Danio rerio: one gene and its partner. The protein of the gene in region 1 purifies or fractionates together with the protein of each later gene. This does not show direct contact. Links are inferred from orthologs where the notes say so. Each region holds a gene or a part of one and is shown on either strand. Other genes may lie near its edges.

Evidence for each region. The genes of interacting proteins can lie anywhere in the genome.
Region 2: the proteins of traf7 (region 1) and map3k3 purify together in Homo sapiens (affinity purification with mass spectrometry; 5 studies listed by BioGRID and IntAct, with this or other methods). This does not show direct contact. The link is inferred for Danio rerio from reciprocal best matches to the Homo sapiens genes TRAF7 and MAP3K3.

What each region holds. Positions count from the first base shown.
Region 1 is NC_133178.1:34,478,393-34,484,530, reverse strand, and holds part of traf7 (E3 ubiquitin-protein ligase TRAF7), read right to left. Parts: intron 4,840-6,138; coding exon 4,656-4,839; intron 4,553-4,655; coding exon 4,418-4,552; intron 4,313-4,417; coding exon 4,095-4,312; intron 3,998-4,094; coding exon 3,924-3,997; intron 3,838-3,923; coding exon 3,789-3,837; intron 2,923-3,788; coding exon 2,795-2,922; intron 2,715-2,794; coding exon 2,632-2,714; intron 868-2,631; coding exon 828-867; intron 742-827; coding exon 625-741; intron 1-624. UniProt on the Homo sapiens protein: E3 ubiquitin and SUMO-protein ligase that plays a role in different biological processes such as innate immunity, inflammation or apoptosis. Potentiates MAP3K3-mediated activation of JUN/AP1 and DDIT3 transcriptional regulators.
Region 2 is NC_133178.1:30,611,737-30,617,874, forward strand, and holds part of map3k3 (mitogen-activated protein kinase kinase kinase 3), read right to left. Parts: intron 5,959-6,138; coding exon 5,885-5,958; intron 5,740-5,884; coding exon 5,672-5,739; intron 5,587-5,671; coding exon 5,491-5,586; intron 4,481-5,490; coding exon 4,319-4,480; intron 3,206-4,318; coding exon 3,057-3,205; intron 2,079-3,056; coding exon 1,947-2,078; intron 1,652-1,946; coding exon 1,522-1,651; intron 1-1,521. UniProt on the Homo sapiens protein: Component of a protein kinase signal transduction cascade. Mediates activation of the NF-kappa-B, AP1 and DDIT3 transcriptional regulators.

The DNA.
Region 1 (6,138 bases):
TTCTACAGGTATATATATATATATATATATATATATATATATATATATATATATATATATATATATATATATATATACATACATATACACACACACACATATATATATATATATATATATACACACATATATATATATATATATATATATATATATATATATATATATACACACATACATATATATACATACATACACACACATATATATAAATAAATAATTTATATATATATATATATATATATATATATATATATATATACTTACATATATATACATACATACACACACATATATATATAAATAAATAATTTATATATATATATATATATATATATATATATATATATATATATATATATATATATATATATATATATATATATATAAAAAATTCTTGAATTAGCTAGTTATATGAAAAGCATATTTCCAAAATATACAATTATTGTCTGTAACTGCAATTACTTCTTAGACAATTAATTGTCAGCCAAATTTCACACAAAAGAGGTTTATAGAGCCAACATGCACATCACCAAATGGGGCAGAATGAAGCTTGACATTAGCTGCTTGATTGGGCATGTGTTTGCAGACGCGCACATCATCTCTACAACAGACGATACTGACCTTAATGGCTTTGAGAGAGCCGCTGAAGAGCATGTTGTGTGAGGACACTAGAGTGCACACAGGGTTATCGTGTGCCCGGATGGTGTTCACTTTCTGAAGGGTCTGGATATCCCAAACCTGAGGAAGAGCAAGTGAATGTGTATTAGTTACTGTCCGAATCAGTAGTTTGATTCCTCTTTTAAATGCACTTCAGGGACACTCACAATGATTGTACAATCAGCTGAGCCACTATACAGCTTGTTCCTGCAGAAACAAAAAAAAATGTGCAAGAATTTGTAAGTTCCCTTGTCCATTTAAAGACAACATGAACATGACATTTGCAACCGTTTTTACTTTGTTAAATTCTTTTTAAATATTGTATATTTTTATTAGAGCTGTAACCAGAGCCTAAAACTACACTTCATAATTGTTTTTTCAGTGCTTTCAAAATAAAAGCATACAGCTTTTTGTTTGGTGCTTTTTAAAATGCACAAAATGGATGTGACTGTGTGTCATTCGTAAAACATGGTTATGTCCACATAAAAATCAGTGCAGTGCATCAGATTACATATTTATATGATTATTTTAATTTGTAAAGCTGGTTCGGAACAATAGTCATTTTTCTTAAAGGCCAAATTGTGCATAACACTTGTTAACATTTCATATACTTCTTATACTTGTCAACCTCAATGTTTATTTTGAACTTGATGACTGTTAATTTAGGCCATTACCTATAATACACTGATTTGACTTTTTCAGTAGAACTCAGGCTTCAATGTAAGAATGAAACACATCTCTCACTAACAATCTGCACTGATGAATCAGACCCAGTAAAAAATAAATAAATAAATAAATAAAAAAAAAACTTTTCTACGGATATTTGTCCATAATTAACATCTGATAAACGTTTTTAAAACTAAACTGCTAATAGACATGTCGTATTCCAAGTAGGTCTGACCTGCACAGCCATAGAATACACAACCTCTGACCTACACAAGTTTTTGCTTAATTGACCGCCATGCAGATGTTCATTTATAGCCCAGGAAGCCAAATTTATACATTTCGTGAATTGGGAATACACAACTTTAATTTATAACACTAAAACACTTTGAAATTTTAAAGATAACAGTAAATATAAAATAGCAATGAAATGGAGAGAAACAAAGCTATGAAATTGTTAAAATGCAAAAGCACTTTGTGAATGCACCCGATGAACATTCGTTAAAGACTTTCAGCTATACGGATTGTCATTTAAAGGCTAGATCAACTAGTCCCTCCAGCAGATCCAAAGTAATCTTTTGGCAAAACTGTCAGCCTGCTCCTCCATATTATGCTATTATGAATATTATTGTGCAATAGGTCTGCGCGATTTGGGCAAGATATTTAATTGCAATTTTTTGACAGATATTGTGATTTTCATTTAATTTTGTAGTCAAGCTTCAGCTCAATAATCTGTAAGCCGTGGCAACAATTCTTCGACAACTTTTAAAAATGACCTATTTTTGTTCGGTGTCTGTGACTTAGAAACCAAAATATTCCCATATTACCAATGCTGTTTATCTTTTTTGATTGTAATTTGTCTATTAATGCTTCTGAAGCAGCAGACGCCATTATCCCACTTGCTCACGCTTTCCTGTTGTTTTTTTTTTGTGGATGTTCGGTTGCACAATTCTGACTAGGCAAAACAAAAGTGTGCTCACTCAGTTAGCTAGTAAGACTGTCACACACAAACAGCAGTCACACATTTGCTCTGGGTGGGAGAAAAGAAATACATAGATATTTCATATTGCAGCCTCTTGCGATTTACTAATCGTAACGTTTCAAGTTGCGATTTGATTTTGATTTATCAAACAGCCCAATTGTACAATAACCATAATTAGAATGTTTCTCAATTTAGTAAACTGTAAATAACAGTATGGAAACGAAAATGAAATGCTTTGATTTAATTTTCCATACTTCTTTCGGACCTGCAAGTGTCTCAAATCAAACGCAAAGGAACTCACTAAAGTCTTAATTTAAAAAGCTTACCCCTGAATGCACAATGCCAACACTATGCCATCATGGCCTTCGAGAGTCTTCTGGCATTTGTATGTGGTGCACGTGTCCCAAACCTGCGTAGAGCACAGATGTACAGATGATTTATCTGTAAAAAGAAGGTTACACACCAACCAAAGACAGCAGGTGAAATTACCTTGATGGATTTGTCTGATGACCCACTAAAAAGTAGATCGCCTGTCGAATAAACACACAGGCACCACACCGGACCCTGATGGCCCACAAAAGTACCCTTACATTTGAAGATCTGCTGGGGGTCGTAGGCTGCAAAACAATTCATAAGAGTCAGACGATTAGGGTTCCTGCTCTAAACCCAATGTCAAATTCCCTGACTTTCACTGACTAAAAAGCACATATAAATAGAAAAACAGGCCGCAGTCATGCTTGGTAGTGCCTCCAGAATTGTGTTGTTCTGCGATTGCTGAATTGAAGGCAAAATCAAGCAAATAAAGCAAAATTTAGAGCTGCCTGCAATTTTATTTTTTTTTTTATTTATGCAGATTTCCACACCATCTGCATTGTTTTTTATTGAATAACACTCTTTTCATGCATGGAAAGTGCTCATGTGCTGTGTGATACCTTAAGCTGTCAACAGTGGTTCATGAGGTTAAAATAAGGTGTAAAAAATAAAAATGTTCAAATTTGAACAGCTTTTTACAGCAAAACAACACAAAAAAGGGTGTAAATACTGCCGCAAATTGAGAAAAGTCAAAGCAATATCAGCAATTTTAGGCTGCAAAAATCAGATTTTTTTTTTACACAAAATTCAAGAGGGACGCGTTCAGCACTGAGTAGACAAACAAAAAAACACCCACTGACAGTATTTTAACAGCTACAGCCTGGTGATTGCATTTGTTGCCTGCCAAGGGGGGAGGACTAAAATGACAGTGAAAAGTAGCCTAACCTTAACACAAGGTAGAAACACATTATTAAAAAAAAAAAAAATTTTGCTAAACAAGATGCAAACTTCAAGACAATCAAAAAAATCCCTGCTATTTCCTGACTTGGAAAAAACAAACATAAAATTCCCTGACTAAAATGGCCCTTTTTTAAAGTCCATGGCCCGAGGGAACCCTGTTCAACATATTCACAGAAACTGAGAATAAAAAGGAGAAAATGAGGACACTTACAGCCCAGTATGCCCATATTGAGCCTGGCATTGATGTGAGACAGTTCATCCTGCAAAAGGAGAGAAGTGTTAGAAAGCTAATACAAAGCAGCTGTACATCTTATTTTGCTAAAACCCAGATCGAAAATAGACCTACGTTTAGCATGGAAGCATCTCGCCTGAACTCCATCAGATCTTCACTGAGCTTGCTCTGATTCTCATCCAGCACATCTGCCACATTAGCACAAAAAAGACCAGCAAATTGAACACTAATGCACATTTTGGCTTACAAACAACAAGCGGCTAAGAGTTAGCTCCATGTCCTCACCGAACTTGAGTTCCAAGTTTTTCTCCAGCTGGTCCAGCTTCTCTGAGAGTTTACCAAGCATTGAGCGCAGGAACGAAATGTCCTGGTCCTTCTGCGCCAGTGTCACCTGCATCTCATGGAATCTGTCATCCGTCTGCTGGAGAAACTCCTTTAGTCCCTCAAACTTACAAACCTCCAGGTGAGTCTCGTATGTGTCCTGATTCCCGATGAAGGTGCAACTGGAAGAAAAATCCAGCGTAGGTGAATTTGAGGTTGCTTTATATTTTGTATTTGGTTTCATATGTATGGTAGCAATCAATAGGAGCTTTTCTAAATATGCATACCCATATTTAGAATGAGGGCACTTGATGTGTTCACATTCTTTCAGATGGGCCTCTAAGTTCATAGTGAGCAATGGAGGGCAGTTGGGGTTGTTGGGACAGCGAACGGGTCTGTAGTCACAGCTTACTTCATGATCTCTGTCAAACACATTCCAGAGTTATTACACTCCCTTTCACTGACTCACGCGGATGTTGCAATCAAACGCCGCTATTGCAAAAGCCAGTGAACCTGTGTACTCACTTTCTGGTGCTGAGCTTGATGGTAAAAGGACAGCCAAGTGGGTCAACCTCATAGGCACCAGACTTGCCCGAGGCAGCTGGACGACAGCCGTACTTGCAGTGGATGAAAAGCTCTCCGATTTGCTCAGCCACAGCTATGTTATTCACTACCACTGTGAGCTTCGAATTGTCCACCGGGCATTTCTCTGTAGAAGCATAGGATATTGGGGAGAAAATAAAGGAAAGACTAATGTTATATTGATAACATGACTCAAACTAACAGCATGAAAAGAAGCATTCAGAATGGACAGGAAATGAAAGAGGAACAGAGATAGAAACCTGCAATTAGCCACTCCTGTCAGTGACAGCACTTTTTGAAACCACAAATAGTCAAATGTGTGTCTGAACATATTCAGATCCTATCTTCTTATTCATGTTTTTTTGTTGTAGCTTGAAATCATTACAAGCATTGTTAAATAAAAAAAAAGATAAATATACATAATAATTCACACACACACATATATGTATATAAATATATATTAGTGGTGTAACTGATCTCAGATCTTTTGGTTCGTATCATACAATGGTTTTTGAGTCACTGATTGGACCATTTTTCAGATCAGCAAAAAAAGGAGATGACAAATGTCAATTGTTTTCCATGCATTAATTTATATAGAAATATTATGGAAAAAACTATTGGTTTTAGCAAACATAACTTAAAACCTGTCATTTTAATAAAAATAAAAATAAAGAAAGAACCAGCTGGAAAAAAATATATATATATTCAATACGAAAAATGACCGTTGCTACTGTTGCTGATATTAATAAATATAGAAATTCAACATCTTGTACAACAGATCATGTTTATTTTCAATAAATGATTCAACAATTCACACATAAAAATTTATGTTTCATTATGGGTGGAGCATTGTTGAAAACCTATTGAATTACATAATATTGATGTTTTTTTTGTCGCCACCCATTGGATACACAATGTAAGTGCTACAACATTCTCCAGCGTCAAGTTCTATTAAGCAGGGATTTTAATCTTTACCATAAACAGTGTTCATATCTGAGCTGTAAACTGTTATTCCAGGACTTGAGTGATTTAATTGTTTGTAACTAAAGTGTAAAAACTGAATCTCTCTTGATCAAATGCAGATTTGAATGCAGCGCTTTCGAGGGATTGAAAAGCATATGCAAATCATTATTAGTTTTCATTCATGTTGTGTGGGTTTGAATTGAGACCTTGATCTTTTAATATTTATGTGTAGCTTTACACTGAATGCATTCATGCAAGCTAAACAAACAAACAAACACCTTTAATTATTAACCTAAGTATGCAATTAGGTTAGTCCCACAACTAACTTTTCCGTCATCATTGTATTTTGTAGGGAAGCCAAAATGCTTAGATGCACGTGATTTGAATGACGCGAAAGGCGATATCTCTGCAATTGTTATAAATGTTGGATTAACTATTATTAGGGATGTAACGGTATTGTAAA
Region 2 (6,138 bases), about 3.9 Mb from region 1:
TGCCGCTTTGTGGGTCTATTGGAGAATCTTATAAATATCCCAAGCAAATCTTATAAATGTTGGAGACATAATTGTTACATAAGCGCACTAAATCGCACTTCAGAAGCGTTTATTTGAGAGTGCACAAGAAGATCTGAGCTTGAGCAGCGTATATTTGAGGCGGCGTGCAAGAAGTTTTGTGCATAAGGAGAGGAAATCGGTCCGCAAGCAAAGAGATTCGCATGCTCGTATTACATAAATGCGCTCACAACATTTCTCCATTTGTCATTGAAATAACGCCATAGGTGGTTGATAAATTTGTGTAAAAGACCTGCCGCCACAGCTGGAAAAACACTGCTCTCTGAACTGGCTCTGTGCAAGTTAGAATTCATGTTCAGGCTCAACACAAGTAAATGTCCCATCAGTGAATATTATAGTGAGACATGCCGCATGTCAGCATGCGAGCACAGGTGGGTCCAGAACCAGAAATTGCCTGACATGCAGGAGATCTTAGAAGTACCTCATTAGTACAAGTGAATGAAATTTATGATGTGCAAATTAAGTCTTGCTTCACAATGGTAAAACTCAATTTCAACAATAATTATTTCCATCTGTCTGACTTGACGAGCATTCAATCAGTTATGTTTTGAAATGACTGTAACTTTCACATTGTGCTGTGTCGCATCTTAAAGTTAAAACATCTTATTCCTGTTATCAGTTTTTCATATATATTAATCAAACAACAAAAGATAATTTAAATGAATCAATCTGCTCTCGACTAAATAGCTGGATAGGCTACTCTAGATCCATAATGGTTAACCTTTATTTAATTTTTACACTGAAGATATAGTATGCAGTGTTATTTTTTATTAGATTTTTCTTAGAAATATAGATTTTTATTTAGCTTTTTCAAAACTTAACAATACAGAACATTGAAATTAAGCAACAAACAAACTAAAGTAAACCATACACACAGTACATAAAACAAATAAATAAATAAATAAACAAACGGAGGATATACAGTTTAAACCAATGGAGAAAACTATTTTGTCATATTAAATCATGTGGTACAGCTTTAATATAATTCAAAATGGATTCCAATTATTTTTTAATAATTCCCCTTTCCTCTCAAAGAATATGTGATCTTCTCCAATGGTATACAGTTGAGGTGCACTTTTGAGATCCACAGTCCAATTAGTACATCAATGTCTGTTTTCTATTTTAAAGCAATACATTGTTGAGCTATTGTCAAAAACATTTCAGTAAGCTTAAAAGCTTGATTATGCTGGAGGTAAGAATCAATTCCATGAATCTGTGATATGATATTTATTCGTTTATATAACTGAAAACTATTGCTAGATACATGAAAAGCCTGAAAGCATTGCTTATTTTAGTATTATCTTTGCTATATTGTTTTGTCTTACTGGACATATAAACCGAAAATCGTGCCAAAATCGTGACCCAGAAACCATGAGAAGTCTGTATTGTTGTACTACTAAAACACTCACGCACACACACACACACAACACACAGACTACAAACCTTTGATGTCCCTGTGGACGATCATGTTGCTGTGCAGGTAGGACATGCCTTCCAGAATCTGTCTGGTATATTTGCGTGTCACATTCTCCGTCAAAGCCCCATAAGCCTTCAGCTGGTCTTTGACTGAACCCTGAGGGGTGGAAAGATCACACTGAACTCTATATCACAACAGCCGTATTGTTATTAAACAGGTGTTCCGTGACACATTTCAACCCATACAATAAAGAGATCTGGCATTACAGCTACAGTGCACCAAAAAAGGAAACTATGTCATTGCATACTCACCCACATTCAAAGATGTATATGGTTAATTTTTCCTCAGGAACACTATAGTAGTAGTTTCCATAGATTTTTTTTTTCCAACAACGACTCGTCCTAATTGATTTCCAAACGCTTAATAAATGTGGTTCTTTTATCAAACTCACCCCGGGCATATACTCCATGAAAATGGTAAGCGTCTTCTCATTGTGGTCTCTAAGGCAGCCGTAGTACTGGACGATTCGTTCATGATGCAGGTTTTTCAACAGCTGTATCTCACACTCTAAAGCACTCACCTCCTGCAGAAAGAGGGGCAAGAGTCATGACACGACCACAGCTGAGCAGAGCAGCTATGACCAGAGGGGGCTATGAGGGAGATGACTGTGCATGAAGGTGGAAGATCAACTAAAAACACACAAACCACAACACACTAATGCCAAACTGTTAACATGTAGATAAGAGAGATTGAACATCCAGGAGGTGCTTTTTGCTTTTGTGCATGTCTGTGTGTGTGTTTGTGTGTCAATTGGGGGCATGATCAATGAGAAATGCTTTGTTAGACTACCCCGCTTCCCCTCGCCTCAAACCCCCTCTGAACCAAATACACAATCACACACAGATACAGGAAGCGAGAGTGCATGTTTTTGCAATGGCAGACAGGAAAGGATTTGAAGAGAGGGGGAGAAGTTCAAGAAAGAAAGATAAATCAGGGGGGAGAAAAAAACATGCTGGTAATCTCAGAGAAAAACAACAAAGGAAAGAAAATTAAAAGAAAAAAAAGAGAAAGAAAAGAAAAAGAACAATAAAAGAAATAAAATGAAAACTTTAATTCTTTTAGTATTATGAATCTCATTCATAATAAATAAAAAGAAAAACAAATAAATAAATCTACAAATAAATGCATAAATAAATAAATAAATGAATAATTAAAAATAAGTAAAAAAAATTATAAATGCATAAATTAATAAGTAAAAAATGATGCATAAATAAACAAATAAAAAAATGCAAGAATAAATAAATAAACAAGTAAAAATATAAATGCATAAATAAATAAATATATAAATGCATAAAAGTAAAGATATAAATGCATAAATAAATAAACAATTAATAAAAAATGAATGCACTGATAAAAAATGTATAAATAAATAAAAAAATGTAAAAAATAAATGCATGAATAAATAAATAAACAAATAAATAAATGCATAAATAAATAAATAATAAAAGTATAAATAAAAGCATGATTAAATAAATACGACAAAAAAAAAAAAAACATGTACCTTGCTGGTCTCTGGACTGGCAGGGTCAAAATGAACCTGTTTTGCTGCAAGTTCTCTGCCCGTATCCACATCATAGCACAGATAAACCCTTCCAAAAGCACCCTGACCCAGCAACTTCCCTCTGCGCCACGTCACTGGAGCTGTAGGGGCTACACATATGCACATATAAATACACAATGATTGGCTGAACGACAAAGTAATTGACAGTTTCACTCAAAAGCATACATGGGCACATTCTCAAAACTTTTTAAACCGTTTCTATTGACCTTATTTTGCAATGCAAAAGTAAGCTCTATTCTGCAATAGTTTTAGAATTTCCAACTAGGAATATGATAATACATATCTTAGGGGTGCCAAACTCAGCAGCCCAGCACAAACTATTTCCAACCTTCCTTCAATACACTTACCTAGGGGTTTAAAACAAGCCTGAAGGACTCCATTAGTTTGATCAGGTGTTAAAGCCAAACTGTGCAAAACGAGTTTGACACGTGATATATGTTGCATGAACAAAATAAAAAATGTAAAGTTTCATATATTAGCGATTATATGTGGTGTCCCAAAATACATTGATTACAGTAATCAGGGTTTGGCAATAAAGATGTGTGAGAGATGCACAGTATTGTCAGTACTGCCTTGTCGCTCAAGTTTATAATTTTCCATTGACCATTTTGCAATATGTGTGCAAATGCAATCTTACAATAAATTGTAAAAAAATGTTAAATTAAAATACTGTTCATGTTAGCAAAAGGAGGCAGGTGAAAACATACAACAAATGAATTAAAAGTTTGCAACATAAAATAAAAATAAAATCTTGAACCAATAAATGTACTAATGGCTGTAGCTGCTCTTATGTGAAAGCATAAGGTCAATAAGATCATTCAGTCATTTATTTTCTTGTTGGCTTAGTCCCTTTATTAATCTGGGGTCGCCACAGCGGAATGAACTGCCAACTTTTTGTTTTACACAGCGGATGCCCTTTCAACTGCAACCCATCTCTGGGAAACATCCATCCACACTCATTCACACTCATATACTACGGACAATTTAGCCTACCCAATTCACCTGCACCGCATGTCTTTGGACTATGGGGGAAACCGGAGGAAACCCACACGAACGCAGGGAGAACGTGCAAACTCCACACAGAAACGCTAACTGATCCAGCAGAGGCTCGAACCAGCGACCTTCTTGCTGTGAGGCGACAGCAATACCTGCTGTGCCACTGGGTCACCCCTCAATAAGATCATATATTACAAAACACTCACACTTATGAGGGACTGCCCGGTCCTGTGGACGAAGTCTGGACTGAGTATTCTCCAGCTGCCAGCTGCCCAAACTCTCCTCGCTGCCGTTCAGAGATCGCCGTGATGGCACCAACGTGAACAAATTTCCTTGCGGACGACGTATTCGTGGGAATGTCCGTCGACCTGAGGAGCAACAATATTTGTATTAGGTGTAAGACAGTAATTCAATCAATTCAATTCATCTTTATTTCTATAGCGCTTTTACAATGTAGATTGTGTCAAAGAAACTTAACATCATAAGTTCTAGTAAACTGAAACTGTGTCAGTTCAGTTTTCAGAGTTGAAGTTCAGTTTAGTTTAGGTCAGTGTGGTTTAATTTTCATTGCTGAAAGTCGAAACACTGAAGAGCAAATCCTTCGATGCGCAGCTGTACAAGTCCCTAATTAAGCAAGCTAGTGGCAACAATAGCAAAGAACAAACTTCACCAATTGACGAAAGTGAAGGAAAAAAACTCGAGAGAGACCCGGCTGTGTACTAATAATGTGTACAACAAAAATGTAGTGTAATGTAGAGCAGGGATTCCCAACCGGTGGGCCGCGGCCCACTAGTGGGCCTCATCAATCCTGCAGTTAAGCTCTTTAAAATATGCGCATAGTTGTCCAAATTAATGTCCTGCCAGTGATTTACAATGGACACGTGAGACTTTGTGTTTTAGTGAACATCTGTTCTCTGTTTCTGTCAGCGAACTCCAATAATGTTCAGCAACAAACCAAACCGCCCTCAGATCGATGTGTTTTAACAGATTTAGAGTGTTTTTGCGTTGTTTTTCTTTTGTTTTTAATGGATATGAATAGTAGACCAATAGATGAATAGTAGTCAGTCTAATTCAAAGCAGCAGCTGTTTTTGCCATCTCCTGTAGTCCTGTCAGGTTCACTTTTTGAAGAAATACCCAAATACTCTGCAGTTGTGTTTTTTTCCAAATATTGAAATACATATTGTTAGTTTTTTTTTAATAAAATGATGTAGAATAATAAAAGAATAATAGAAGGCAAATGAAATGTTTTGCTAATAAATAAAGCTTTAAAATAAGCATTTTCCTTAGACAATCAGTTTGGGCCTTAAAAAAAAATCAGAGAGGGAGGTGGGCCTCGAAGGGAAAAAGGTTGAGAACCACTAATGTAGAGTGTCATACCTTCACTGTGATCTTTATGATGCATCGACACATGATACCTGCGAGGGTACGTCCCTCCTTTGCCAACAATCTTATCATAAACATGGTTTTCCCGGTCTAAAACACAAGAATGGGAAATGTAAGTCAGTGGAACAGCTCATTTGTAAAACTTAAGCGGGAAAGCAACTGATATGAAATGCACCTGAGCAGTCTTGTCGGTTGTCAGGATAACTCTTAATCCTGTGTGTTCGAGATTTCCTGAGAGAGGGACTACAAAACAAAACAATAAGTGCAAAATAACACTGCAACAGGTGATTACTATTGCAGAATATTTCATCATTCATTTTTTTGTAGTCTCAGGAGAGAGATTTCACATATGGCAATGATCTCCATCAACTTTAATATCGATCCTCACCTGTCAGAGTTACTGTCCAGTGACTGACAGCTGCCGGACACAGAGTTTTCAGCACTGCTCCAAGGATCCAGCACCTATAAATGTAGGTGTATTATTTGGTAAATAGACTTAGATTGCACACTAGCTGATTTGGTAACTGCATGTGGTGTTTAATGTATTATATTCCTAAATTCTCACATATAAAACCAGTTAAAAGCATATTAAGTGGTATTTCTATAGGGACGTCAGACTTTTTAACGATAATAATATTACTG